Linked DNA regions of Callithrix jacchus. The protein of the gene in region 7 binds, or shares a complex with, the protein of the main gene of each other region. Links are inferred from orthologs where the notes say so. Each region holds a gene or a part of one and is shown on either strand. Other genes may lie near its edges.

What was found.
Region 1: STX7 (region 7) and VAMP7 share a complex: the UniProt entries of both Homo sapiens proteins name them as parts of the SNARE complex. The link is inferred for Callithrix jacchus from reciprocal best matches to the Homo sapiens genes STX7 and VAMP7.
Region 2: STX7 (region 7) and VTI1B share a complex: the UniProt entries of both Homo sapiens proteins name them as parts of the SNARE complex. The link is inferred for Callithrix jacchus from reciprocal best matches to the Homo sapiens genes STX7 and VTI1B.
Region 3: STX7 (region 7) and BET1L share a complex: the UniProt entries of both Homo sapiens proteins name them as parts of the SNARE complex. The link is inferred for Callithrix jacchus from reciprocal best matches to the Homo sapiens genes STX7 and BET1L.
Region 4: STX7 (region 7) and STX5 share a complex: the UniProt entries of both Homo sapiens proteins name them as parts of the SNARE complex. The link is inferred for Callithrix jacchus from reciprocal best matches to the Homo sapiens genes STX7 and STX5.
Region 5: STX7 (region 7) and STX18 share a complex: the UniProt entries of both Homo sapiens proteins name them as parts of the SNARE complex. The link is inferred for Callithrix jacchus from reciprocal best matches to the Homo sapiens genes STX7 and STX18.
Region 6: STX7 (region 7) and BNIP1 share a complex: the UniProt entries of both Homo sapiens proteins name them as parts of the SNARE complex. The link is inferred for Callithrix jacchus from reciprocal best matches to the Homo sapiens genes STX7 and BNIP1.

The regions. Positions count from the first base shown.
Region 1 is NC_133524.1:151,451,215-151,455,301, reverse strand, and holds the start of VAMP7 (vesicle-associated membrane protein 7), read right to left. Parts: upstream 2,801-4,087; 5' UTR 2,678-2,800; intron 1-2,677. UniProt on the Homo sapiens protein: Involved in the targeting and/or fusion of transport vesicles to their target membrane during transport of proteins from the early endosome to the lysosome. Required for heterotypic fusion of late endosomes with lysosomes and homotypic lysosomal fusion.
Region 2 is NC_133509.1:102,650,717-102,654,041, reverse strand, and holds the end of VTI1B (vesicle transport through interaction with t-SNAREs homolog 1B), read left to right. Parts: intron 1-811; coding exon 812-873; intron 874-2,280; exon of another isoform or gene 2,281-2,494; coding exon 2,495-2,591; 3' UTR 2,592-2,825; downstream 2,826-3,325. Other genes in the region: ARG2 (arginase-2, mitochondrial), read right to left, coding at 3,052-3,257. UniProt on the Homo sapiens protein: V-SNARE that mediates vesicle transport pathways through interactions with t-SNAREs on the target membrane. These interactions are proposed to mediate aspects of the specificity of vesicle trafficking and to promote fusion of the lipid bilayers.
Region 3 is NC_133511.1:131,726,067-131,730,118, forward strand, and holds the start of BET1L (BET1-like protein), read left to right. Parts: upstream 1-1,252; 5' UTR 1,253-1,319; coding exon 1,320-1,338; intron 1,339-2,510; coding exon 2,511-2,602; intron 2,603-2,872; coding exon 2,873-2,929; intron 2,930-3,046; coding exon 3,047-3,214; 3' UTR 3,215-4,052. Other genes in the region: RIC8A (chaperone Ric-8A), read right to left, coding at 179-262. UniProt on the Homo sapiens protein: Vesicle SNARE required for targeting and fusion of retrograde transport vesicles with the Golgi complex. Required for the integrity of the Golgi complex.
Region 4 is NC_133511.1:120,101,370-120,104,869, reverse strand, and holds part of STX5 (syntaxin-5), read left to right. Parts: intron 1-329; coding exon 330-436; intron 437-601; coding exon 602-723; intron 724-3,500. UniProt on the Homo sapiens protein: Mediates endoplasmic reticulum to Golgi transport.
Region 5 is NC_133504.1:184,727,321-184,731,408, forward strand, and holds the start of STX18 (syntaxin-18), read right to left. Parts: upstream 2,801-4,088; 5' UTR 2,717-2,800; coding exon 2,549-2,716; intron 1-2,548. UniProt on the Homo sapiens protein: Syntaxin that may be involved in targeting and fusion of Golgi-derived retrograde transport vesicles with the ER.
Region 6 is NC_133503.1:65,504,998-65,509,081, forward strand, and holds the start of BNIP1 (vesicle transport protein SEC20), read left to right. Parts: upstream 1-1,284; 5' UTR 1,285-1,297; coding exon 1,298-1,381; intron 1,382-3,265; coding exon 3,266-3,358; intron 3,359-4,084. UniProt on the Homo sapiens protein: As part of a SNARE complex may be involved in endoplasmic reticulum membranes fusion and be required for the maintenance of endoplasmic reticulum organization. Also plays a role in apoptosis.
Region 7 is NC_133505.1:139,118,048-139,121,547, forward strand, and holds part of STX7 (syntaxin-7), read right to left. Parts: intron 2,709-3,500; coding exon 2,615-2,708; intron 1,937-2,614; coding exon 1,799-1,936; intron 683-1,798; coding exon 630-682; intron 115-629; coding exon 18-114; intron 1-17. UniProt on the Homo sapiens protein: May be involved in protein trafficking from the plasma membrane to the early endosome (EE) as well as in homotypic fusion of endocytic organelles. Mediates the endocytic trafficking from early endosomes to late endosomes and lysosomes.

The DNA.
Region 1 (4,087 bases), on a different chromosome or scaffold from region 7:
CCACCTCGGCCTCCCAAAGTGCTGGGATTACAGGCGTGAGCCACCGTGCCCGGCCTCCATTCTTGTATCATGAGCAGACCATTAAATTAACTGGCCCACTAAAGTAAGGCGGTAGACAAGGTGCTCGGGAAGAGATGGGAGATCATTTTAGGAGGAACGGATGAAACAAGAGAAGGCATAGAGGTGAGAACAAGGTAAAGAAGGTACATAAACTAGCCTGATGAGATGGAATGGTCCACCTTTGGTGAATGACAAGATTGAGGAATACAGCTGATGGCCTTACATAGAGAAGGTCTTGTATAAATCATGTCATTTAAATTTGATCAGATATGGAGTTTTTCTATTTCAGTTCAACACATATGTACTGAGGGCTTGCTATATGCTAGTCAAAGTAGACACTGGAGGTATAAAGTTGATGAAGAAGGGACTCCTATACTTGAGGGAGCCATGGTACAATGAGGAAGACAGATATAAATAAATGTGATAAAGTGTAATAAGTGAATAATCTAAGACTGTCCACAACCACTCAGGAAATTTCTTAATGCTTTGTGATGATCTCACCTTGGGTGAATAACAGGAATGTAGGTATCAGCTTATGCCTTAGGAATTTCCTCACTATACTGTTAGGATTATTTCTCCGTGGAAGAGAGGCCAAAGTGTCTATTTTACCCTACTTTCCCAGTGCTCAGCACGGTGCCTAGCAGTTAACCTTCCCTCAAGTATTTTTTTTCTTTTCTGAGACGGAGTTTTGCTCTTATCCAGGCTGGAGTGCAATGGTGCGATCTCGGCTCACCGCAACCTCCGCTTCCTGGGTTCAGGCAATTCTCCTGCCTCAGCCTCCCGAGTAGCTGGGATTACACCCAGCTAATTTTTTGTATTTTTAGTAGAGACGGGGTTTCACCATGTTGACCAGGATGGTCTCGATCTCTTGACCTTGTGATCCACCCGCCTCGGCCTCCCAAAGTGCTGGGATTACAGGGTTGAGCCACCGCGCATGCCCTCAAGTATTTGTTGAATAAGTAAGTGAACATTGAGCATACTTTGGTTTTAAATACACTATAAATGATAGATAACTTTATATTCAGAAAGACCTAGTAAGAATAATATTTTCACAACCAAATCACCTTTTGAAGTAAGATAAAGCAGTTGAGCTAACAGTAATCCAATCCCCAACTCTTCCATCTGGGAGTTAGAAAGAATAAAGTAACTACAGATAAACCAAGAATTCGGATGCAATAAGCTTGGAGGAGATAGAAAAAATGAAGAATAAACACTGCTTAGAAAGGGGAAAAGGAGAGGTGTTTATGAAGTCAGGTTATAGATCAAGATTATTCCTGTTAGTATTACAACTATTCTTTCTGGATGATGCTCTGAGACCCAATCCAATCTCTCTGACTTTCTTAGGATAGGATCCCACCCTTTCAAGTCAACCACCTGTTTTATTTCACATTAGGCAATATATAACATAATCCTATTTCTGTTTTCCCCTCTAGACACAAACATGTAAGTTCCTGAGTGTAGCAACCTAAGTCTTGTTTACAGCTGTATCCCCTGCACTTAAAAAGAGAGTCGGCCAGGCGTGGTGGCTCATGCCTGTAAAATCCCAGCACTTTGGGAGGCCGAGGCGGGTGGATCACGAGGTCAAGAGATCGAGACCATCCTGGTCAACATGGTGAAACCCCGTCTCTACTAAAAATACAAAAAATTAGCTGGGCATGGTGGCGTGTGCCTGTAATCCCAGCTACTCAGGAGGCTGAGGCAGGAGAATTTCCTGAACCCAGGAGGTGGAGGTTGCGGTGAGCCGAGATCACGCCATTGCACTCCAGCCTGGGTAACAAGAGCGAAACTCCGTCTCAAAAAAAAAAAAAAAAGAGTGTCAAGCACAGATCAGCCACTCAATAAATATTTGTTAAACATACGAATGGATCTGCTCTCAGCCACAAGTATTCAAAGGTAATTAATATCCCTAACATGGCTGTATCTCTGGGATCAAGGGAGGGAGAATGGAGATACAGGTAGTTGAAAGCAATAAATGAGGCCGAATGAAGACAGCTGATTGTGAGAGTTATGGGAGTGGGAGATGTAAAGCGTTTACCAAAGACGCTAGCACGTGGTCAGAATTTGATAAACATTGGCGGTTAATAAAAACACCAAACAGGTCTGAAGATGAGGAAACAGGTCTAGGCGGAGATACAGTTCCTAGCCAAACAGAGGAAGAAGTGGACTGTCAATAATGAGCAGTGGAGGAAGGGTGAATAAGGGGCCAGGAACCCACGAAGGAGCATAAACAGCCAGAAGTAGGTGAAGCGGAAAGTGACGTCATCGAATAAGGACGCAGAGAGTTTTTAGAAGACTCGGTCGATCTCAAGCGATTTAAATGGTACAGAAAAGTCTTGTAGAATGCAAACTGAGAGAAAATTAACATTTTTTCCCTCCTGTAATGACAGCTTAAGTGACGCATTCTGACACTCTTTTTAACTCGAGGCCTTTCCAGCGGCAAAAGACGCACCTCGCCGAAACCGGACCTGCCCGACAACCGGTACTGTGTACACCAGAGAAGCCCAAGTCACCCTTACACTGCCTACCCGCTCCACCCCAGCACCTTTCCGTCGACACCTTCCCTCTCCCTCCGCAGTTGTGTTTCCGCCTCCCACAGAGCGCGCCCCACTCCATTTACCTGTCCGGGCACCTTCTGAGGGCGCGCGGGCTCGGGACCTAGGGGCGCGGGTCAGCGCAGGGTCGCCAACTGCCCGCTCCCAGAGGAGGCTGGGACCCGACGCCGCTAACTTCCGCGTGAAGCGCCCCGCCTACGCGTGGCCTCTTGGGAATGGGAGCGCTCCTCCAATGGCAGCAGGCAACAGGGCTAGGCCTGCTAAGTTCCCAGCCCCGCCCCCCCCGCACTTCCCAGGAGCCGTAGTGCATTCCGGGAGTAGTAGTTCCGACTGGCCACGTTCCGGGGACAGCTCTGGCCGTAAACAACGTCAAACGCCGTATAGGGATCCACGCAAATGAGAGAATGCAGGCTAAAGATTCTACCTGTAATCCCAGCACTTTGGGAGGCCGAGGCGGGTGGATCACGAGGTCAAGAGATCGAGACCATCCTGGTCAACATGGTGAAACCCCGTCTGTACTAAAAATACAAAAAATTAGCTGGGCACGGTGGCTCGTGCCGGTAATCCCAGCTACTCAGAAGGCTGAGGCAGGAGAATTGCCTGAACCCAAGAGGCGGTGGTTGCGGTGATCCGAGATCGCGCCATTGCACTCTAGCCTGGGTAACAAGAGAGAAACTCCGTCTTAAAAAAGAAAGAAAGAAAGAAAGAAAAGATTCTACCAGCAGTGAGTAGGCGGCATAAATGAAGAGCCACGCTTGCCCCGTCTCTCCTGCTTAGTTTCAGTAGGCAACATTGCCTGTTTCTTCACCGACAAAATAGAATTCAGCTGACAGGAAGTGCCTCTATTTTTGCCATGAAATGTTCTTATTTTCTTGTACCCCTCACCAATCCTTTCTCCCATTCTTTAGCAATAATAATGATAACTACTACTCTCCTTTGATCTAAACCCATCCCTCTTCCATCCCTATTCCCTGTTGCCGAATCAGAGTCAAGCTCTTCTTTTATTTTTGAGACGGAGTTTCGCTCTTGTTACCCAGGCTGGAGTGCAATGGCGCGATCTCGGCTCACCGCAACCCTTCTGGGTTCAGGCAATTCTCCTGCGTCAGCCTCCCGAGTAGCTGGGAATACAGGCGCCTGTCACCACGCCCAGCTAATTCTTTATATTTTTAGTACAGACGGGGTTTCACCATATTGGCCAGGCTGGTCTCCTGGTCTCCTGGTCTCCAACTTCTGACCTCATGATCAGTCCACCTCAGCCTCCCAAAGTGCTGGGATAACACGCATGAACCACTGCGCCTGGCCCTTATTTCCTCCTTTTTGAACTCCTTTATTCTCTTAGCTCTATGCAAGATGCTATACACTCCCGCTTCTCCTCTTACCTCTGTGGCAGCTCTTCATTTTCTTTTGAAATGTTCACATTCCATAGGGTTCTATCCTACGCCATCTTCTCTTCTTATTCTTCACACTCTTCCTGG
Region 2 (3,325 bases), on a different chromosome or scaffold from region 7:
GCAGTTGAAAGTTCCATGGAGGTTAATTCCTTTCACAATTCAATGTAACTGTCTCTTAAGAGGGTAAAGAAAAAAGATAACGAGATCCCAAAAGCAGTAACACACTAACCTACAAATACAAATGCAGCCAGACGTGGTGGCTCACGCCTGTAATCCCAGCACTTTGGGAGGCCAAGGCAGGCAGATCACGAGGTTAGGAGTTCTAGACCAGCCTAGCCAATGTAATGAAAACCCTGTCTCTACTAAAAAAATAAAAATACAAAAATGAGCCAGGCATGGTGGCAGGCACCTGTAATCCTAGATACTTGGGAGGCTGAGGCAGGAGAATCGCTTGAACTTGGGAGGCAGAAGTTGCAGTGAGCCGAGATTGCACTATTACACCCCAGCCCAGGTGACAGTGCAACACTCTTTCTCAAAACAAAAACAAAAAGCAAATGCCACCTCAAGAAGCTGTCCTGAAATCTGGCTGATGAAATTCAGATCTTAAGTTCCTCTGCAGTCACTGGTTGTCCAATCTGCTGGCTGTACTTGAAGGCTTCCCTTTTGGAGTAGCCATAGTGAAAGATTAGCTCAGTCTCAGGAGTCCATCCCTGGCAGCAACCTAGGAATATAATGATTCGTAAGCCTACTTAATGAATACTAAAATATCTTGTCCTTTCCAGGTTCTACTTATACGCAAAGGCCATCATTTAAATTGGCTTGATTTCTTGGAATTTTTCAACAGCCCTTAATGCCCACTGTTAATCTAGGGATATTAAAATTGTACAGAATGTACTTTTGAAAGGAAATAATCACTCTTTTCTCTTCTCAGCTGGTAAACACAAGTGAAAACTTGAGCAAAAGTCGAAAGATTCTCCGTTCAATGTCCAGAAAGTAAGTTTTTAAAAGTCATGAAATTTGTCTTAATGTCTTTCAACCAAAAAGCTTAAAATAGTGACTTACAAAAGTCCTAATAAAGCACCTCAGCAGTTGATGCCAGATAGTCCCCGTATACTCAGTGCTACCCAGCAGATCAGAAGAAATACACTAAGGAATATGGTCTTGGATAAGTAGCTCAGGATAAAATCATTTGTTAAAAGAATATACTGCTTTGACTTAGAGCAGTGAAAAATTTCTCCACTGAAAGGACATTTAATCACAGCTGATGTTCGTTAGAGAACGCAGCACGTGGGAATAACAGAGCTTCCTATTCCTTGAAATATATTTGTAAAATCTCTATTAGAAAGCAGTTTTCACTTGCATAGTACTTGTGTTTTGGCTCTGTTTGCCCTTCATGGGAGTCAGCACCTTTTCTGGAAGTTCTGTCTTGTTAGCAAGAAGTAGATTTTTAAAAATAAAACCCTTAGGGAGTTGTCAGGGTTGGTGGGCATTAACTGAGGCAAGATGCTGTAGAATCTGCTGGCACTGCCAGATTGCCCAGAGGACCTGGAGCATTGCTTCACACAGGCATTTTGAAAATGAAGCTCCAGGAAACACAAGCTGTTTCAGGAGGAGAACGGAATTCTTGGCATCTAAAGGGTGGTGGAGCTGATGACCTCCTATATAGAGCCACCATGGTTCTCAATTGGTGAAGCAGCATATGCCATGCATCATCAGTTGGCTATGGTTTCATTTCCCAAGAAACAGGATTGACCAGTCATCACAGTGACTTAATTCAGTTTCATTCAGCTCTCTATGGACTCTTAGTCTGATAAATAGCCCTTTTTGAAGATCTCTAAGCCCTTCTTTGAAGATCAATATTTGAATTGTACTAACTGCCACCAGTAAAGTAGTCTTTACCAAAAGTAAAAAACAAAACCCTTGTGCTAATAGCAACAAATCCAGGGCAGAAATATTGCCACTGAGGTTGAAATTGGGTTTAAGAGAGGATTGTGTGTGACCTTGTGTACAGGTGGCCTAGCATAAAACAAAACTACAACTCAGTCATGTAACTAGCAGGAGGGGTGAGATTTTTCTACAGTGGTAAATTCTTTGTGGAAGAGGAAGAAGCCTAGAGTGAACATGAGAACCAGAGGTTGGATTTTTAAGCTCCTGTACTACCTTTATAACATATCCATTTGGGTTGATAGGAGAGCAAAGGGAAAAATAGGGCAGAGGAATAGAAGTTTACAAGGGATTGAAAGGTATTACCCAGGCTTCTAAGTTACTTTATCCTAGGGCAGGACCCATTCTGAACAGGATGTATATTTGATTACTTTTTCTCGATAACCCCTCTTTCTAGAAAAGCTATTTTTAAAGGAAATAACTACTGTTTGAAGACATTTCAGAGTCAAGAAATCATTTTTGTGCTTTGGTTTTTATTGTCTCAGTTTAACATTACTGTGAGGTAGACAGTATTATTCCTAAGTGACAGCTAAAGAACCTTATATGTACTTCCTGCTAAGTGGCTGTGTGATCAGACAAACAGCCTCAGAGTATCCAGCCTTGGTCCCAGGTCAAACCCCAAAGTAGGTTATCCAAAATTCTGACTACTCCCCACTTTGTTTCTTTGTAGAGTGACAACCAACAAGCTGCTGCTTTCCATCATCATCTTACTGGAGCTCGCCATCCTGGGAGGCCTGGTTTACTACAAATTCTTTCGCAGCCATTGAACTTCCTATAGAAAAGGGTTTGTGGACCAGACTTTGACCTTGTGAATGCATGATGTTAGGGATGTGGATAGAATAAGCATATTGCTGCTGTGGGCTAACAGTTCAGGGGTGCACTGTGTAGCCAGACTGTGGGAGAAGGGAAGGAAAGATGGAAAGCCACTTAAATGTGAAGGAACAGCAACAAGACCAATATGATATACCAAGGTAATAAATGCTGTTTATGACTTCTTTAAATTTACATAGTACTGTAGCATATTAATACCCTGTGAACTGCAAAAAAAACCAAATACATTTATAGTAGTATTGGTCACCAAAATAGAAGGGAAACTTTACATTTGTGAGAATATGCAGATATTCTCATTAAGGCAGTATTGACCAGACAGCCATTTAGTATCTGTCCCCTCAAATGCCTCATAATTCTGGAATGCCCATTGTGAAATATGTCAGTGCACAGTATCTCCTAAATTCTCACACGTGCTTGATTTTCCGATTCATCTGGTGAACTGGGAGTAGGAAGTTGGTCATAGACAATGTGCCCTCCTTCCCTTGTCTGACCAAAACTTGAAGCAATCACATCCACTGCCAGGTTAGCTGTAGTCTTTGCCTCTTCCTCTGAGGTGGCCAACTGAGGATTGACTTCTACAAGATCCAGTGCCGACAACAACCCTGGAAGAACAAAGTGTAACAAAACCTCAGATTCCTTTGCTGCTACTCAGTGAGGGTCATCCCACTGG
Region 3 (4,052 bases), on a different chromosome or scaffold from region 7:
CCTACCCGTCCCTGCCACGCGTGCCCCCCCCCCCGGCCTCCGGATACAGCCCCTGCCTCGCTCTCCCACCCGTCCCTGCCACGCGTGCCCGACCCCGGCCTCCGGATACAGCCCCTGCCTCGCTCTCCTACCCGTCCCTGCCACGCGTGCCCGACTCCGGCCTCCGGCGGCGGCTCACCTCCTGGTTGTACGACCGCAGAGCTTCCATAATCACATCCTCCTTCCCCGTCTCCACGGCTGCTGCAACCGCCCGGGGCTCCATGGCGCCCCCGGGACCCGCCCCAGCCGTTCCGGGCCGCAATTCGCCGGCCCCGCCCTGGCCCAGAGAGCTCCGCGCCAGCGCGCATGGGAGGCCGGGACGGGGTGCGGCGTCGGGCGGCGCCTTCAGGGGGCGCGGCCTGGAGCCGAAGCGGCGGTTCGAAGGTTTCCAGACCCGAGTCGCCCTCGACCGAACTGACCCCTCTCCTTGTGACCCGCGCTTCTTGGGCAGGAATTTCCAACGGGAAAGGATCTCAGCCCCCACCTCGCCCTGCCACACACACAGCGCCGCCCCTGGATCTCCACAGAACGGATGGGGTGTGGAGGGGGAGCCGAAGTGGGGGACTTTTCAGTCCTGGGCCATCGGGTTCGTTAGGCGTTTGCTGGGGAACGCAGGCGAACGGGACTCCTAGGTCCATGCTTTCGCGGAGCTTTTGTTCCCGAGGGGAAGGCACACAAGCAAACACCAAAGGACACGAGGCTGTGCTTCAAAACGGGCAGCGAGGAAACGCTGCTTTTGCTGACACCGGACGACAGGAAGTGGCCGGGAACAGGGCTCCTGCTCGGGGGGGCCTGCTCCCTCCTCATGACGCGCCTGTGAATCCTTCCCCGCCGTTAGGACCTAACCCACGGAAGCGTCTATCCCACACCGTAGTCCTGGCACCGAGCCAACAGCCCCGCCCCGCCCTACGCTCACAGGAACAACAAACGTCACATCCGCGGTGGCGCACACCAGTAATCCCAGCACCTTGGGAGGCCGAGGCGGGAGGGCTGCTTGGCCCGGCAGGCGGAGGGTGCAGTGAGCCGAGATCGCGTCACTGCACGCCAGCCTGGGACGGTGCGGAAAATGAAAGGCACATCCGTGCCGCGCTCCTGCGACCGGCGGTTCCCAACTCGTAGCCCTCAGCCGGAAGTCAGCGAGTTCAAGGCGGAAGGGGCAGGGGCATATAGGGGCGTGGTCGCTGCGGAGGCGGGGCCGGAAGTCCTGCCCCTTGACTGCGCCACGTCCGAGGCGGCGGTTGCCGCGTCGGTGTCGGCGTTGAAGAGCCGGGGAAGGCACCATGGCGGACTGGGCTAGGGGTGAGCGCCAGAGAGCGGAGTCGTTGGGGGCGGGGCCGGGCCCGGCCGGAGCCGACGCTGTTACCTGCAGAGCCGCGTACGCCTGCCTCTAAACTGTCCTCGGCGGAGAGGACCCTGTCACGGGGGCAGATTCGGATCCTTCCGGGTCCGAGGGGGCGGCCTAGCCGCTCCAGCGAGGGGTCGCGCAGCTGCGGGGTCCCCCAACTCTCCGCCATTCCCTGTGAGATCGTTCTGCGTGGGTTCGGGGTGCGGGAGCCTCCGCATTCGGCAGGTCCCGGGGCCAGGCCCTAGGAGTACAGGCCACGCGTGCACCGTTGGTGTCCAAGCAGGCGTCTGCTAACTTGGGCCTCGATGGCCCCAGTCCCCCTCCCGGAGCCCGTGTTCTTGTCTGCAAAGTGGGATATTGATGTTTGCCTGTCTGTGTTGCACCCGTTGCTTACATTGAAGCTAGGCAGCAGGTGGTTCTCACCTACCTGATGTGACAGAAATTCCTTATCACCTGGCCCAGCCTATCACATCACAGGCCAGGCCGCTGCAAGCACTATGCTCTGGGTGTTGCGGGAAGCCCTCTGTGGGATGCAGACCAAGGATCCCTCTCTTGGTCGACCTCAGCTCCCATGGTGGGGAATTGGGAGCTTGGCTCAGACCTTTTTTTGTGCGGTAAAGCGCCTTCTCAACATTCTGTCCTGGTTCCTTGCCACCTCTTCAGGAGCCAGCTCTGAAGTCGCCCCTGTAGGAGCCTTCCTACTGCTCTGCTGGGTACTTTCCCCAAGCCTTTCCTACACTTTTACACAGATGGGACCTCCATGGATGCAAGTGTCACATCTTACCAGCATCCCAGGGCTGGGTGCAGTTTCTGCTACACAGTGTGGGAAACTGCTGGTTGCACCGAGCCTGTTGTGGGTGCTTGCCCATCCCCACCTGGATGTGTACACAGGGCGTGTGTTCACATGACATGCGCTTACTTACACACATCGTTCTTTATGCAGCCTGCCTCACATGTGCAAGATCCACCTGCTGGAACCTGGTTAGGGCCTTGTGTCTGCCACCTGCCCAGCAGACACAGGGCCCAGTCCCCCTGGATTTCCAACTCACCCAGATGTGGTTGGAGCGACGGGTCAGGGGCCGTGCTCACCGGTGGATGCAACCCCTCAGCCTCTCTCTCTTCTCAGGTCAGAGTCCTGGTGCTGTGGAAGAGATACTAGACCGGGAGAACAAGCGAATGACCGACAGCCTGGCCTCCAAAGTCACCAGGCTCAAATCGGTCAGTGGTGGTCTCCTGTCCTCTTACCTCTACCATGTGCCCTTGGGGGGTGGGGGTCAGAGGAAAGGCAGACGGCCCAGAGGAGTTTCAGGCAGTTTTCTATCCTCATGTGCTTTGTGGCTGTGCTCACCTGCATGAGGCCCCACCTGGACCTCTCTGCTGCTGCAGCACTCTGGCAGAGTTGTTGGCAGGGCTTGTCTGGTCTGGGGAGGGTGAGTGCTGCATTATGTGTCTGCTCTGGCCCAACCCTGCCCTCTCTGTGCTGAACAGCTTGCCCTGGACATCGACAGGGACGCAGAGGATCAGAACCGGTACCTGGATGGCATGGTAAGGGCCTGCCCCAACACTACCTGCTGTAGAGCCTGCAGTGTCTCCTTCAGCACTGGTGCGGGTGGGTGGTGAAATCACCACTTCTGTGTGATCTTGCTGGGATTCCCCCTTTAGGACTCGGATTTCACAAGCATGACCGGCCTGCTTACAGGGAGTGTGAAGCGCTTTTCCGCAATGGCAAGGTCTGGACGGGACAACCGGAAGCTTCTGTGTGGCATGGCCATGGGTCTGATTGTGGTCTTCTTCATCCTCTCCTACTTCTTGTCGAGGGCAAGGACGTGAACCAGTGGGAGCTGGTGTCTCTGGGTGCCTGGCGTCTTGGGCTCCAGAGAACTTACCTACAAAATACTCCTTTGAAATTACAATTGTGGGTTTGGAATCTTCTTCCTGTGGGGCAGGAGGCTGTGGCAGCCTGTGACCTGATGAGCTCATGTTGGCTGTGGAAGGGACTCTCTTTTGGGGAAACCAAGGGCCAGCCCCTCCCTCCTCCCCCAGGTGCTAGAGACACCAGCAGAGTTGGGGCCACAGCATGTCTGGAGGAGCCAGGTCCAAGCGCAGCAGCTGTTGAATCCCAGACGTAGCCACTTGAGGCCTGCAGCCTTTCTCCCAGCTCTTGGGACGCTGACATCTTAAGGCCCTATGGCTGTGTCCTTGTCTGGGTGAGGCCATGTCTGTGATCCAAGGTGCCTGGAGCTGACACAGGAAGGGACTGTGAACCCTGAGTGAGTGCCATCTCCTCCGACTGAGGCCTCTCAGCCTGGAGATGACGGTTCCTTCTGGCCACGGTTGCTAGGCATGGGCAGACCAGCGTGGGCTACTCTGCTGTGAGTTTTCTCTGCCTGCTCTCCAGTCCTGCGGATGAAGTGAGACCCTTGGGGAGAACTGGGGTGTGGATGGAGTGAACTGCAGCCTTGGCCTAGTGGCTGCGCCTGGATCCTTCTGGGTCATGTGACTGTATCCAGGAGCAGAAACTTGCGTTCTCAGGAGTCAGGATCAGCCCAGCACCAAAGACGTGTTTTCGGGAGAGCAGACCTAGAAGTGGGCCTGTTTGGCATTTCAGAGTCAGGCAAACCTGTGGATCTACACAGGAAGGTTCCTGTGAGGACTCCAGTTGCCGCCT
Region 4 (3,500 bases), on a different chromosome or scaffold from region 7:
GCTAGGCTGAACCAGATGGTTGAGATTCATGATCCTGCATTCTCACTGTTGGAGTGAATGTAGGTATATCCAGAAGAATGATAATTTCTGATTGTTTGGTACACTTATCTTTATTCACATTCTCATTTAATTTTCACAACCACCCTTTGAGAAAGCAACTATTATTATCCCCCATTTTACAGGTGAGAAAACTGAGGCTCAGAGAGTTAAAATGACCTGTCCAGGGTCACAAGGCTAGTAAGTGCCAGAGCTGGGATTCAAACCCAGAGCATGTGGGCTTTGATCCTCCTTTTAACTTAAGATGTGCCACATCCTGTTTTCTCCCCCAGGGGGTGGTGCTGTTGTTTTGGGGGCAGAGTCTCGTGCCTCCAAGGATGTCGCCATCGACATGATGGACTCTCGGACCAGCCAGCAGCTGCAGCTCATTGACGAGCAGGTACCCAGCCTCTGAACTTGGGAGAATCAGCTTCTCCATTATCCTCTGTGACTCCCAAGGCAGTGTTTGGAGTGTGCCGTGGGCAGAATGGCAAGCTGGGCGGTTTGTAAAGATGCAGGTCTGACCCTGAAGAAGCTCATGGTGCTCATGTGCTCTCTCCTGAAGGATTCCTACATCCAGAGCCGGGCAGACACCATGCAGAACATTGAATCGACAATTGTTGAGCTGGGCTCCATCTTTCAGCAGTTGGCACACATGGTTAAGGAACAGGAGGAAACCATTCAGAGGTGAGACACACTCTCTCACCCCAGACACAGGAGCCTTCTCTTCCCCATGGATTGGCATCTTAAAGTTCCCAGGGATTGCTTGATGCCTCTTGGAAGATAGAGTGAATCCTGCTTACCCAGGGGACCCAGTTCACCTGCTTTCATCTACCCAACAAGTATTTATTGAGCACCTGTTCATGTGAGGCACTGTTCCAGGTGCTGGAGATATAGTGGCAAATAGGACAGTAAAGTCTCTGTGGAGCTACTTTGTAACATGTGTATGGAATTTGATAGAGCAGATGAGGACAGCTGTGGAAAAGAATTGACTAGGCCGGGCATGGTGGCTCACACCTGTAATCCCAAAAGCAGCACTTCGGGAGGCTGAGCCAGGCAGATGGCTTGAGTTCAGGAATTCGAGACCAGCTTGGGCAACAAAGTGAGACCCCATCTCTACAAAAAATTACAAAAATTAGCCAAGCATGGTGGCATGGGCATGTAGTCGCAGCTACTCGAGAGGCTCAGGTGGGAGGGTGGCTTGAGCCTGGGAGGCGGAGGTTGCAGTGAGCCAAGACCGTGCTACTGCACTCCAGCCTTGGTGACAGAGCCAGATTCTCTCTCAAAAAATAAAAATTAAAAATTGACCAACAAAATTTCAGGTAGTAATAAGGGCTGTATACAGAGCATTAAAGTAGGGATGATGTGTTAAGAAAGTGATGGATGGGTATGGTGGCTTACACCTCTAATTCCAGCACTTTGGGAGGCCCAGACAGTTGCTTGAACTCAAGAGTTCAAGACCAGCCTGGGCAACATGGCAAAACCCCATCTCTACAAAATAAAAAAAATTAGCTGGATGTGGTTGTGCATGCCTGTGGTCCCAGCTACTTGGGAGGCTGAGGCCTCCCTCATTTGATCACAGGAGGCCGAGGCTGCAGTGAGCCATAATCGAACCACTGCACTCCAGCCTAAGTGACAGAGCGAGACTCCATCTCAAAAAAAAAAAAAAGAAAGTGATCGAGGAGGTATATCAGATTCTGTGGCGGGGAATGCTCCTCTGAAGACATGACATTTAAGTGGACTTGAATCGCAAGAGGGTAGGCTAGCCATGCAAAGAAAAGAGAGCGTTCTAGGCCAAGGGGACAGCGAGAGAAAAGGCCTTATGATGAGACAGTCTCGCTGTACGCAAGAATCAACAAGGCCAGTGTTGCTAGAAAGTAATGAACAGGGATAGAGAAGTACAGGGTGTACTGCAGGGATGTAGGCAGAGGCCCAACAATGGGCTGGCCTCTGTTCCTCTTGTGCCTCCTGCTGTGACAAGAGGTTTTATCTGCTCCTCCTCTGTGGTGCTTAGCATTCAGTTGGTCATGAGTATATAGCAGTAGACAAAAGACAAAAAAATCCTTGCCCTTGTGGAACTTACAGCCTAGTAGGGAGATAGATGTGAAAAAGTAATAATAAATAGTATAGTATGTTAAAAAAAAAGTCAACACAATCAAGAGTGCCAGGTTTGGAGGGAGGTAGACCCTATTAAGAAGGTGGCATCGGGCCAGGTGTGGTGGCTCAAGCCTGTAATCCCAGCACTTTGGGAGGCCAGGGCGGGTGGATCACAAGGTCAAGAGATCGAGACCATCCTGGTCAACATGGTGAAACCCCATCTCTACTAAAAATACAAAAAATTAGCTGGGCACGGTGGTGTGTTCCTGTAATCCCAGCTACTCAGGAAGCTGAGACAGGAGAATTGCCTGAACCCAGGAGGCGGAGATTGCGGTGAGCCGAGATCGCGCCATTGCACTCCAGCCTGGGTAACAAGAGCGAAACTCCGTCTCAAAAAAAATAAATAAATAAAAAGAAGATGGCCTGTAATCCACTTTGGGAGGCCGAGGCAGGCAGATCACGAGGTCAAGAGATTGAGACCATCCTGGCCAACATAGTGAAACCTCATCTCTACTAAAATACAAAAATTAGCTGAGTGTGGTGATGCATGCCTGTAGTCCCAGCTACTCAGGAGGCTGAGGCAGGAGAATTGCTTGAACTTGGGAGGCAGAGGTTACAAAGAGCCGAGATCACACCGCTGCACTGCAGCCTGGTGACAGAGTGAGAGCGTGCCTCAAAAAAAAAAAGGTGGCATCAGACTTGGGAGAAGGTGAGGAAATTAACTACATAGACCCTGGCAAAGGGAAGAACCAGCATAAAGGCCTACAGGTCTGATGAGTTAAAGGACCGCAGAGACCACTGCAGATGGGATAAATGAGGAAGAGAATTGTACAAGGTGTGGTCAGAGGGAAACTGTGGGACCTCTTAGGACATTTGTTAGGCTTTAGCTGTCACTCTGAGTGCCATCGGGAGTCGTTGCAGGGGTTTGCTTTTGTTTCTGTTTTCGCTTGAGACAGAGCCTTGCCCTGTTGCCCAGGCTGGAGTGCAGTGGCATGATCTTGGCTCACTGCAACCTCCCCCTCCTAGGTTCAAGTGATTCTCATGCCTCAGCCTCCTGAGCAGCTAGGACCACGGGTGTGTACCACCATGCATGGCTAATTTTTGTATTTTTAGTAGAGAAGGAGCTTTGCCATGTTGGCCAGGCTGGTCTTGAACTCCTGGCCGAAAGGGACCTGTCCTCCTTGGCCTCCCAAAGTGCTGGGGTTACAGATGTGAGCCATCACAACCGGCCAAATACATTTAACTTTGTTTGTTTGTTTGTTTTGAGATGGAGTCTTGCTCTGTTGCCCAAGTTGTGGTGGGATCTAGGCTCACTGCAACCTCTGCCTCCCAGGTTCAAGTGGTTCTTCTGCCTCAGTTTCCTAAGT
Region 5 (4,088 bases), on a different chromosome or scaffold from region 7:
CTACATTTCCTTAGGTCTGACAATCAGGGCTAAATCTGAATCAGGATATGTGCACCAGACTTTTCTGTATAAGGAATCCAGGCCAAACAAAATAACACCAAACTTTTGACACATCTAACTGTAGTGAAAGCACAGGACATCCATCACTAGTTCTTCTAGTTAAACTTTCCACAAGAAAAGATGCGGAGTGGGAAACAGTTGCAAGTATAGAAGATAACACACAAAGCAATGACAACAGAAAATCAAAACTGCTTAAAAGAATATATGTTTCCTCTAGGTCAGGGGGACTGTGTCCCTGAACAACACAGCCCATATACTCACTTGAGGTGATGTGACACGTACCCACATCAATACATAGCAGAATTGGAAGTTTCACTGCCATGTGGTCCAACCCTGTGACACATGGACAAAGTTCTTCTCAAACATCTCTAAAAAGCAGTCATCACTCTGTTTAATGACTTCCAAAGACAGGGAACTCAGCACCTTAAGGGACTGTTGCTGTTACTATCTCTGAGGCCCATAAACTCAAATGCCTAAAACACATTTTCACCACTCAGGGAGAGGTGGAAGTGGTTACAGGACTCTCCAAAGGGCTTGCCAACCCAACTGTTGCCTCTTGCCTCTCCAATTCCCAAATCCCCCCTTTCCTTGAGCAGGACTCAAAATTAGCACAGTGCTAATAAATCAGTGGTTTCAGAGTTAGAAGGGGCCCTTCAAAAGACAATATTATACCACAGTTCTACAAAAGGAACCCCAGGAAGTGCTTGGGACAAACTGGGAGTATAGGGAGGGAGAATGTCCTGTTTCTCTTCCTCTCATTTCAACCTAGGTAGCTCTCACTTTGATGTGTTATATAGAGAGGATCAAGGTAGTTTTTTAAAAGGAGGAGGAGGAAAAAAAAGGATCATTCACAGGTAAATAAAATAAGGTCTTAAAACTTGCTTAATGAAATCATGTAGCTAATAGTTGCACCGTCAGACAACAACCTGGTCTCTTGGCTCGCTCCATCTTTGGTGCTTTCTCTATCATATAACATCTGCCCACCTACAAGGCCAAATTCAAACTCTGCAGTGATATACAAAGCCCTTCAAGATCTCCCCCTGCTGCCACTCTATTCCAATTTTTATGAGAAGTCCCACATTCCAGTCCCACTCAAATGTTTATGAACCAACTTATGTCAGACAATTACCTACCTCCAGACCTTAGCGCACACTATGCTCTTAGCCTGAGATGCCCTTCCCCACCTTGTCTGTACTGAAACCAACTAATCCTCTTTCAAGACTTGTTTGAAGCATCATCACCTCTATAAAGCCTTTTCTGATCCTCAGGTAGAACTGACCACATTCTTCTTTGTGCCCTACACAACACTTACAGGGCTTTACAGTACTTGTTTTATTTCTATGTCCGTATCCTCAACCACTCCTTTTACATCATGTTACTCTAACATGAGGCTGGTCAAAAGGTAAGTGCTTCATAGATGTTCATCAATGGGGTAAGTGTATTCATCTGGTCCAATCCCCTTTCTGAGGTTTAAGTATCTTCAGCTAACTGTCATTAATGCACGCATGCATACATTCATTCAAAAATATCTGAATGTCTATACAGTGCCAAGTGCATGCCAAGCAGAGGTAGATTTAGCGTGAAATTAATGAAGCTTAAGCTTCAGGGTCCCTCACTTCAAACTTCCAAAGCTCTCAACCTTTCTTGGCGGTTTTCTTCTTAAAAAGAGGAGACAGAATTATATAAGCTTTAGGCCCCACAAAAACTAGATCCCCACTTGGTGTCACATATACAATAGGGAACAAGACAAACATCTCTCCCGTTGTGCAGTTTTCTGCCTCGTGGTAAAGACAGCCATTTATTCATTCATTCATTCAACAGACATTTACTAAGCAATGCTGTATAAGTCATGCATTCTGAGATGAAAACAACACTGTCCCTTCCCTTAACGAAAAGGTTCCTAGTCCCAGGGAGATGAAGGAACACCTGCTCTGTCCAGGAAACAGAAAGTAGTTGAGATGACTTAACACTGTGAAAGATTATCCTAAACCTGTCTCAAGCGGAACTGAGTCCTACTTATTGCGAAGACAAAGTAAAGAAAGAGTTCGGTTTAATACGGTTTTAATCTCAACTGGGGGTGGGAGGCAGGCAAGCAAACAGAACAGGCAAATACAGTGTGGTCAGTGCTTCGACAGGAAGCGAAGGACTGTGAGGAAACTTCCCGAGTGCAAGTCTGTAATGACAGCGATCTCATGACCTCACAAAGCCGCCCATGCACTTTCCAGATAGAGATTTCTGAGCGTCTTCTTCTTCGCCCCCTAAACCCCGCCGCCGAAGGAGAAATCCGTTCCCCAATAATGCGTCCCCCTTCCTCAAAATAAGGCTGCTCCTTCCCCCAGAAGCTGTCGGCTGAGGCCAACTGTACTGTCCTCCTTGGGGCCACACTCTTTACACAATGCTTAAGGGACGAGGTCTGGTTTGGGGCCTGGGGTCCCTGTCGCAGGTCTGTCCCCTCCTCAAGCCGCCGTTTCCATAGCAACCAGCTTACCACTTCGCGGGCCCGGCTGGAGAAGTCGCCCTTGGGCCTGGGGCTCCGGCGGAACAGCTCATCCCGGCTGCCATCGACCCCGCCGCCCACCGCCACTCCCAGCGCCTTGTTCCGCGTCTTCACGGTCTTGACGCTGGCCCGGAATAGCAGCGTGATATCCACCGCCATAGCGACCCGCACCCGCAGCCCCAAACGGGACCCGCCCACGTCAGCAGCCAGCGACCGCGGCGCTAATCCGCCAGCTAGAGGACTGGTCCTACCCCGCACGCCTCCCCCCGGCAACGGTGGCGCGAGAAGAAAGGTTCCGGCCTGCGCCCGGCTACCGCGGCGGGAGGAAAAAGGTTCCGGCCTAAGCTGGCGCGCCTAGAGGAGGAGGGACCCGGCAACGTGCTCACGGGTAGTCCCTTCTCCAGGCAAAGCTTGGAGGGTTTAGCAGCACGGAGAGCTCTCCTATGTCTGTCTGGGGCTTGTGGGCTCCGGGAGCATAAAGACCGGAAAGCTGGGAAGTTCCTTCCCTTCTGGTGGCTCCCTCACTGAGCCCGGACGATTTGGTTGCGGGGGACGCGAAGGCGAGACCCCCTTGACCTTTGACTGCAAGGACTCACCCTGAGCATGTCAGAGGCACGTGGACGGTGACCCTCGGGGTGCAATAAGTGCTGGGACAGAGCAGGTGTGCAGGGCACAGAGCCAGAGGCCTTTGTTCTCCAGCCTTCCGCCACCTCTTCTGTAAAGGGAAGCCAGCATCCTCCTCGGAGTTTACTGTGAAAATTAAATGACCCGACGCGTGCTGTTTTGGTGTTTCTTGGCTCCCAGTAAGTGGCCAATAAATGGTAGTTATCGTTAATATGTTGTTATTATAATAATAAAAACATATTAATAAATGTTATTAATAAATATTATAATTAATAAATATTATTATAATCTTATTTGTGGTGAGAAAGAGGCTCTAGAGAGAAGGCGTCACCTGTGCAGAGATTTGAAGGATGAATAGGAACTTTAGATGGAGACAGAGGTGAAAGGGTGACCCTAATGCCGCTGGATTCTGTTCATCCTTCATGCATAGTTTTCAAATCTTGAGTCATAAACAATGACAAGTCAGTCAATGAGTTTCTTCTGCATTTTTTGGTTCATGGTTCTGGGGTGTGTGTGTGTGTGTTTAAGATGGGGGTCTCACTATGTTGCCCAGTGAGATTACAGTGGCTGTTCAAAGACGCCATCCTAGCTCACTACTCACTGGAACCCCAGGGCTCAAATGATCCTCCCCCGCTCCGCCTCCTGAGTGACGGGGACTTTGGGCATGTGCCACCTTGCCTGGCCTATGGTTCAGTGTTAAAACAAAATCTCAAGATTTTTTTTCATAAAGAGAATGCACAAGTAGAATATGTGTTAATGCAGTGGTTTAAATGGTCACCAATATAAAACTCTTTTCATAATACTAAGACGTTACTTGCCTTTTCACTCTCACTTCCTCATGAGTTGTATACACTTGAGTTTGTTAGAGACTGTGTGTGATATTGCAACGGAATGAATGCAGAACAGC
Region 6 (4,084 bases), on a different chromosome or scaffold from region 7:
GTATTACTCAATCCTCCAACCTGTGAAGGTGCTATTGATTACCACCAGTTAGCCTCTGAGGACACAGGCACAGGCATGCAAAGTATGCTGTGGACAGGATTTGAGCTCTGGCAGATATGATTCCTGTGATACACTGCCTCTCCATTAGGTGCAGTGGGGTGATGAGTACCTTACGAGAGGGTGTGTAGAGGTCTGCAGGAACACACAAGCACAGAGCCCCGCTTACAAGTGGGGGCCATGTTGATTTTTTGGGGAAAAGATGGCTTTCAGTAGAGACTGTGACACTTTCAGGATGGGTAATCTTGGGGCAGGGTTGGTTGTTTTCTTTTGTTTTAATCTACTTTCAGCCCATCTCCTGATCTATAATACTAGTAGTACAATTTCAAGGATGGCTGTGAGGATTAAGAGATGAACATGCAGGTCCTAGGGCATTCAGCTCTTCACAAGCTATGCTTGCTGAAGTGACATGAACAAAAGCAGATGGAGGGGGGTCGAGTGGGGAAAAGCATTCTAGGAAAAGGGAACACCACATTCTAAGACTACATATCCAGAAAGCTTGAGGGATCCAAGAAGGGTGCCTGCAGGATGGGGTGGCTGGTGGCCGGGGTGGCTGATGGCCTTGAGAACCAGCTAAGAAAGTTGCATTATTTACCAACAAAAATAAAAGAGTCACGATTTGTTGAGGGTATACAAAAGAGAATCATCAGGAACCACAGAAAGGCTGCATACAGGGAGGTGACTTGATCAATTTCACGTTTTCCAAAGATCCCTAGAATCGTGTTGGAGTGCTAGGAGGAACTCTACCGACCTGCTTTGAACTCCATACTTTAAAAAGCATATAACGTTTATAATTTTCTCTTTTACTCCACAATTTATACTCACTGTAGAAAATATTAAAAATATAAGAAAATTTAAAGAAACAAAAAATTGTTACTTGTACTTTCCAGAGACATCCCAATTGATACTTTTCTTCCCATCTTTGTTTTTTCTATGCAAAAAATACGTAGTTATTAGAATGCCTGACAGAAGGAAGTTGGAAAGAGATCACTGTGAAGCGTTCTTGATATTCCCTCTTATCCTCCTCTCCATGTTAATAGGGTCTTACTAAGAGGAGAGGCTGATTTCCCTCCACGTGTCAGGTAAAGTTCCAACTGTTAAGCAGGGACCCTCGCTTGCCATTTTCGCCGGTCTCTAGGGGGGCGCTGCCCGCAGACTGGGTGGGGAGGGAAAAAGGCGGTGCGAAAACGCGTTTGAACTTGGACCCTGCCGCTGCCCGTAGCCGGCGTCCGTCCCCAACATGGCGGCTCTCCAAGATGTCCACGTCCGGATCTGTAACCAAGAGATAGTCAAATTTGACCTGGAGGTGAAGGCCCTTATTCAGGTATTGATCCCGGGACCCCTGCCGGGCTCCAGCAGCCCTGACCCAAGCTCTGCTGGTCTGTGAGCGCGGCAGTGTAACTGCGGAACTTTCCCCAATTGGTTTCTCAGGCCACTGGCTCCGCCCCATGGCCGGCTACCCCCTGTTCCCCATTTGGTCTTGTCCCCGTGACTGCTGGCCTTGATCCTCCTTACGAGTGCTGCTGGATCGCCCATTTCCAGAGCGCCCCACTGTTCGCCGCCTCTGACCCATGCTTCGCGGCTCGGCTTTACCCCTCCACCTGCTGCCCTAGTCGTCGCCTCGCCCGTGACCACCTCACAACATACCTGCCACCCTGCTTGGCCCCGCCTTCTGACATTTGCTTCCCCATCACCTAGTAGCGTCCGGGAGGCCGCTAGCCCCGCCCCCTGCCACCTGGCACGGGAGGCACCAAAGTAACCTGGGCCGTAGTTGTGATTTTATGCTTGAGGAAATCGAATATAGCGCCAAGGCCCAGGTTAGAAGGCAGATCTGGGTCAATGGCAAAACTGGGACCTGGACTGGGAAAGTCAGTCTAGGAAAAACACCTAGAGTGTTAATCTGTTTGTATGGATAGGAAATGAGATGCTTTGCCTTAAGCCATTTAAGGGTAGAGGTAAGATAAACGAGTTGATGTAGGCAAGAATTAGGAACGTAGACACGGTTCCATGAGTTTAGCAAAAAGAAACCAAGAGTTTTAAACTTTGGTTTAAAGCAAATAATTTTCAACGAAGTCACTAAACATTAGATGTAGACTCAGAATGAGTTTGTAACAAGGTGTGGCAAAAGTGCAGGAAAGTAGGGCTCCCCAGATAAACCAGATGCAGAATAAACCAAATTCGTAGTTTATCATACGGTGCAAAGAAGTGTGATTAAATGAGTAAGCCAGAGAAAAATTGAAATTTGATGGAGATACTTAAAACTTATTGAACTTCACTTCTCTGACATGTACATTACAGAACTTCTGGGTCAGTTATAGAAAAATAAACAAGTTTCATACAAATGAAATTGCATTTTCTCTTAATCTAAATTGCTTAAGCACCCTTCTGTACCCTTTCTAACATTTGGGTTCTTGTGATTCCTGATAAGAAAGATTCATTATAGCTGGATGTATTATTGCACTCTTACTGTGTTCCATTGCTCTGCTAAGTGCTTTACATGCATGTATGATCTATGATCTGTGAGATAAGTAGTGTTGCAATGAGGGGGAGAATTTAAACTGAGACAGAATTTAAATAACTTTTCCAAGTAACTTTACACAACTAATAAGTTGCTTCAGCCAGGATTAGAATCCACATGGTCTGTCTCCAGAACCTGCTCTGAAACCTGGCACCAGCTGTTGCTGAATCTGTTGCTGAATGTCCAGGAACAGATTCTAAATCTGCCCTTAAACATGTCTGTATAAACACTCTGACTTATCACTGATGGTTTGTCAAATCACAATGAAGAAGTTAATCTCATCATATGATGCCAGATATTTAAGCATCCTGATCTTCAAGTTGGAAGGATCTCAGATTCTGAAGTTAATAGTATTGCTTTTGCATGTCCATTCTTGTTGGGCATACAAGCTGTTTTAAGCTTTTTCATACTGGCCACATAAGATTTTATTAAAATTTAGGAACTAAAAATTAGGTCAAAGCAATTGTGTTTCTTTCTAGGCTTTTATAGTAATTTTAACATTAAAGAGGAATGAGAAAAATGTAAATGATAATATTTTTGCCCATGTTGCAGAGGTAAACAGCAAAGATCAGGACGAATTACAGTCAGTACGTTAATATCAGTTGGTCTAAACCAACTCTAACTTTATGGATGGTGTCATTTCATTTCACTGCCTTGAGAAAGGCCTCTTATCTGTTCAATGTCTCCTAGGATATCCGTGATTGTTCAGGACCCTTAAGTACTCTTACTGAACTGAACACTAAAGTAAAAGAGAAATTTCAACAGTTGCGTCACAGAATACAGGTGGGTATTCTAAGAACTGAGATGCTGAGTATCTCAGTTCAGCCAATGAAGGGGCTCAGTCCTGGGTATATCCTCTGCTTGAAGCTGTCTGGGTTCTTCAAACACCAGCTAATGGGAGTAGTAAACACTTCGACAGTAAGAGGGACTCTGTACTAACCTGCTTTCCAGGTAAAAATGAGAAACTTTTGCATGCAGAACACTGCCAGCTGTGTCAATGAGTGGCAGTTTTTTTTAGGTGAAGTCTCGCTCTGTTGCCCAGGCTGGAGTGCAGTGGCATGATCTCAGCTCAGCACAACCTCCACCTCCCATGTTCAAGCGATTCTCCTGCCACAGCCTCCCAAGTAGCTTGGACCACAGGTGTGTGCCACCATGCCTGGCTAATTTTTGTAATTTTGTAGAAATGGGTTTTCAGGTTTTCACTATGTTGGCCCGGCTGGTCTCGAACTCCTCATCTCGTGATCTGCCCGCCTCAGCCTGGGTTTACAGGCATGAGCTACTGCACCTGGCTAATCTTGTTTTTTTTAAAATAGAGATGGAGTCTCATTATGTTGCTTGGGCTTCTTAAACTCCTGGGCTCAAGCAATCCTGCTTTGGCTTTTGAAAGGGCTGGAATTCCAGGCATGAGCCCAGCCTATTCTGTTTCTTTCAGACAGAATTTGGATCCAGGTTCTAATTGTTTCCAAGTTCAGGATCTAGATCAGAATCAGAAGGTAAAGACTACTGTTT
Region 7 (3,500 bases):
TATAATGTAAGGCTTACTTCAAGTTGCCTGATAGAAGACTCTCTTTCATGAATAAGGCGGAGGTCATCCTCTGTAATTTCTTCATCCTGCACCTGCACTTGAGGTTGAGTTTGGCTAACAGAAAAAAATGAATGTGGAAAAAAACAAAGATTGGTTGGTATTCAAAACAATGAGACTCATTTCCTATTTAAGATATATTCATTAAATAGGAGATTTTATTTTTCCAAGTCACAGAACTTCTCACTTAAAAAATTCTAAGACTATAATAATCAAATTTTACTCATTTTTCATTTCACTTATATCATTTTATCTAATATGAGTTTAGTGTTATTACTTAATCATTGGAAGTTATATTGGGCAACTGGGTATTTCTTCTCACCTGACTTAAACCTCATATAAGGGAATGTGTCTATTAAGTCCATAAATATTTATTTGGAAAATTTTATATATAATAAATACTTTATAATTAGTGAATTTGTTTTTCAAACTTACTCTCTGTTTTCAATGTATAAAAAACTTAAGGTATTTATGATATAATATACTGAAAGTTTTAATTCTGTTCTAGGGACCTTAATGTATAAACTTTGAAAAATTACCTTTTGATCTGTAAAATATTTTCTATTTCTTACCTTTCCCAGGATACAAGATTCCTTTCTTTTGAGCTGTCCTCAGGAAAACCGCCCTGAATAATTTAGTAACAGGATGGAATGAGAAGGGGCAAAGAGAGGAAAAATAAGAAAAAATAAACAACACTCATATTTTCCCTTATGATAATCTAAACTGATTTACATATACGTGCACGCGCGTGTGTGTATGTGTGTGTGTGTGTTTGTGTACAGAGAGAGAAAGACATTCTTGTTTTAATTTTTCAGGTCAACTGTTTCAAGTAATAATATAATTATAAGTAATTTTATATTCTAAGTAGACAAGAAAGGAATTGACTAAATATTCTAAAGTGTTAGAATACTAAATATTCTCAAGTATTACTTGGTTAAAGCTTAATGCAGTCTTGGAATCCGTATGTTAAGGAATAAGAAAACAACTCATGATACTTTATAAGGGAATTTAAAATTAGATTAATTCAAAATTCTACTGAAAAGTTTCATTTATTTTCTCCAGGCTCATGTTCATTTTCAATATTCATACAACATACTTGCACCATTCATCTTTGTCATCTTGGTGTAATCCAGGAGGAAAGTGCTTTCTATATTAGTGTGTACACAAGCAGAAAGCCTCAGTGCCAAGACAATATGAGAATACTAATGAGGACTTGATCCCTAATCTTTTCTGACAAATTATGTCTCTAAATTTTTACATAATCTATAATATTCTATAAAATGACACAGAAAAAATAACCATAGTAATACATAATTATCATCCTTCTCTAAAAATGGAGAAGAAAAGCATAAAAATAAATATTCAAGTGCTGATTTCCAAGATATTCACAGATCGTATGCTACTACTGACTTTCATGGGCCCCTTAGAAAGTAATCATGTTTGGGAGGCTGAGGCAGGTGGATCACGAGGTCAATAGATCGAGACCATCCTGGTCAACATGGTGAAACCCCGTCTCTACTAAAAATACAAAAAATTAGCTGGGCATGGTGGTGCGTGCCTGTAATCCCAGCTACTCAGGAGGCTGAGGCAGGAGAATTGCCTGAACCCAGGAGGCGGAGGTTGTGGTGAGCCGAGACCGCGCCATTGCACTCCAGCCTGGGTAACAAGAGCGAAACTCCGTCTCAAAAAAAAAAAAAAAAGTAATCATGTTTATTTCTAGAATGTCTCTCTAAATACTTACAGACACTCTGGAACTGGCTCTTACTCGAGCAACAAACTCTTTCTCTCGCTCAGCAGCCTGCCTCTGGACCTTCTGGAAGTTTGTCAGTGATGTTGTGAACTCTGCCACTAAGCGATCTTTCTGTATTTTCCTTTGACGCTAGGGGTAAGAGAAAAAACAAGGCCAAGTAGAATCAAGCTGTGAAGTTCAACAGAATTTGGTAGCTGTTTTATCATTAGCTGGCTCTTTATCTAATCCTGAAGTTTTCACTTACTCCCCAATTACCAGGCCTTACGGATTAACTCTCAATAACATTCTGACAGTATGTCAAACACTGTACATATTTAACTTGAGGCAAAAGACCCATTGTGCTGGATTTGTCACCTCAAGTTTTCACGCTGCTAAACACTAGCTCATGATTTTGAGCCTATTTTAAGCAATTCCTTTTTAGACAAATAAAGCCTTATGCTTTTAGCTAAGTAATAACTTCCATTGCATAAGCAGGGAAATAAATATGTTCCCCCAGGACACCTCACATGCTGAATGAGTCTGCACGTTGCATGAAGTCAGACCTGGGAGGCCAGGAAATAATTACTCAGGAAGCATTTTCTGAGAACTTACTTAATTACGGGTCAGGGCAAATGCATGGAAATAATTTTTGCTTTATTGAACCACAGGATACTACCTGAGCAATTAAATATAGTTTTGTGTTCTGTGAACTAATGTCAAGCAGAATTATTTTTGATTTCCTTTTTAGCATAAGAGTTCAAAGATCCTACAATGCATTTGATTTTTTTCACATTCAATACATCAACAATGGGTCTTAAAGCTTCATACCTGTTCACTGGGGGTGGTGGGCAGAGATCCAAACTCTTTAATGTACTTGTCTGTTTCTTTGGCAAGCTGGTTAGTATACTGCTGCTTCTGTTGCCTGAAGTGAGAAAACACACATTATGGCCAAAGGATTAATATACTTCTTTAAGCTGCAACTCTGCCATTTAAATCAACACTGACAAATAGTTGTATAAAAATTGCCTTTGCATAAACTGGCTCTGAACTTCGTAAAAAAAAATTCATGTCCTTTTCTTTGATAAATATTGAGCAAATATTGTATGTCAGGTTCTTCACTCACACAGGTTAGCTGAGCTTAGAGAAATAAAAATCAATGACCATTTAGAAACAGATGAATCAAGTCAGAGGAAACTTGAAAAGGAGACTGTTGGACGTCTGATCCTTTAAGTTTGAGATATTGGGGATGTGGGAGCCTTTTATCCACATCTCACACCTGGAAGGTGAGGTGAGCAAGAAAAGATTTGTTGCCTTAGACTGTACCTCATTCCCAGATCTTAGTTATATCTGGCCTCTCCTATTTCTCTATATGACCATGTATATGCTATAGATACTTAAAAAAAAAAAAAAAAAAGGCCCAAGCTTGCCGGTTCATGTCTGTCACCCCAACACTCTGAGAGGCTGAGGTGGGCAGATCGTCGTAGGCCAGGAGTTTGAGACCAGCCTGTCCAACATGGCAAAACCTTATCTCTACCAAAAACAACAAAAATTAGCCAGGTACAGTGGTGCACATCTGTAATCCCAGCTACTTAGGAGGCTGAGGCAGGAGAATCACTTGAACATGGGAGGCGGAGGTTGCAGTGAGCTGAGATCACACCACTGTACTTCAGCCTGAGCAACAGAGGGAAACTGTCTCAAACAAACAAATAAACAA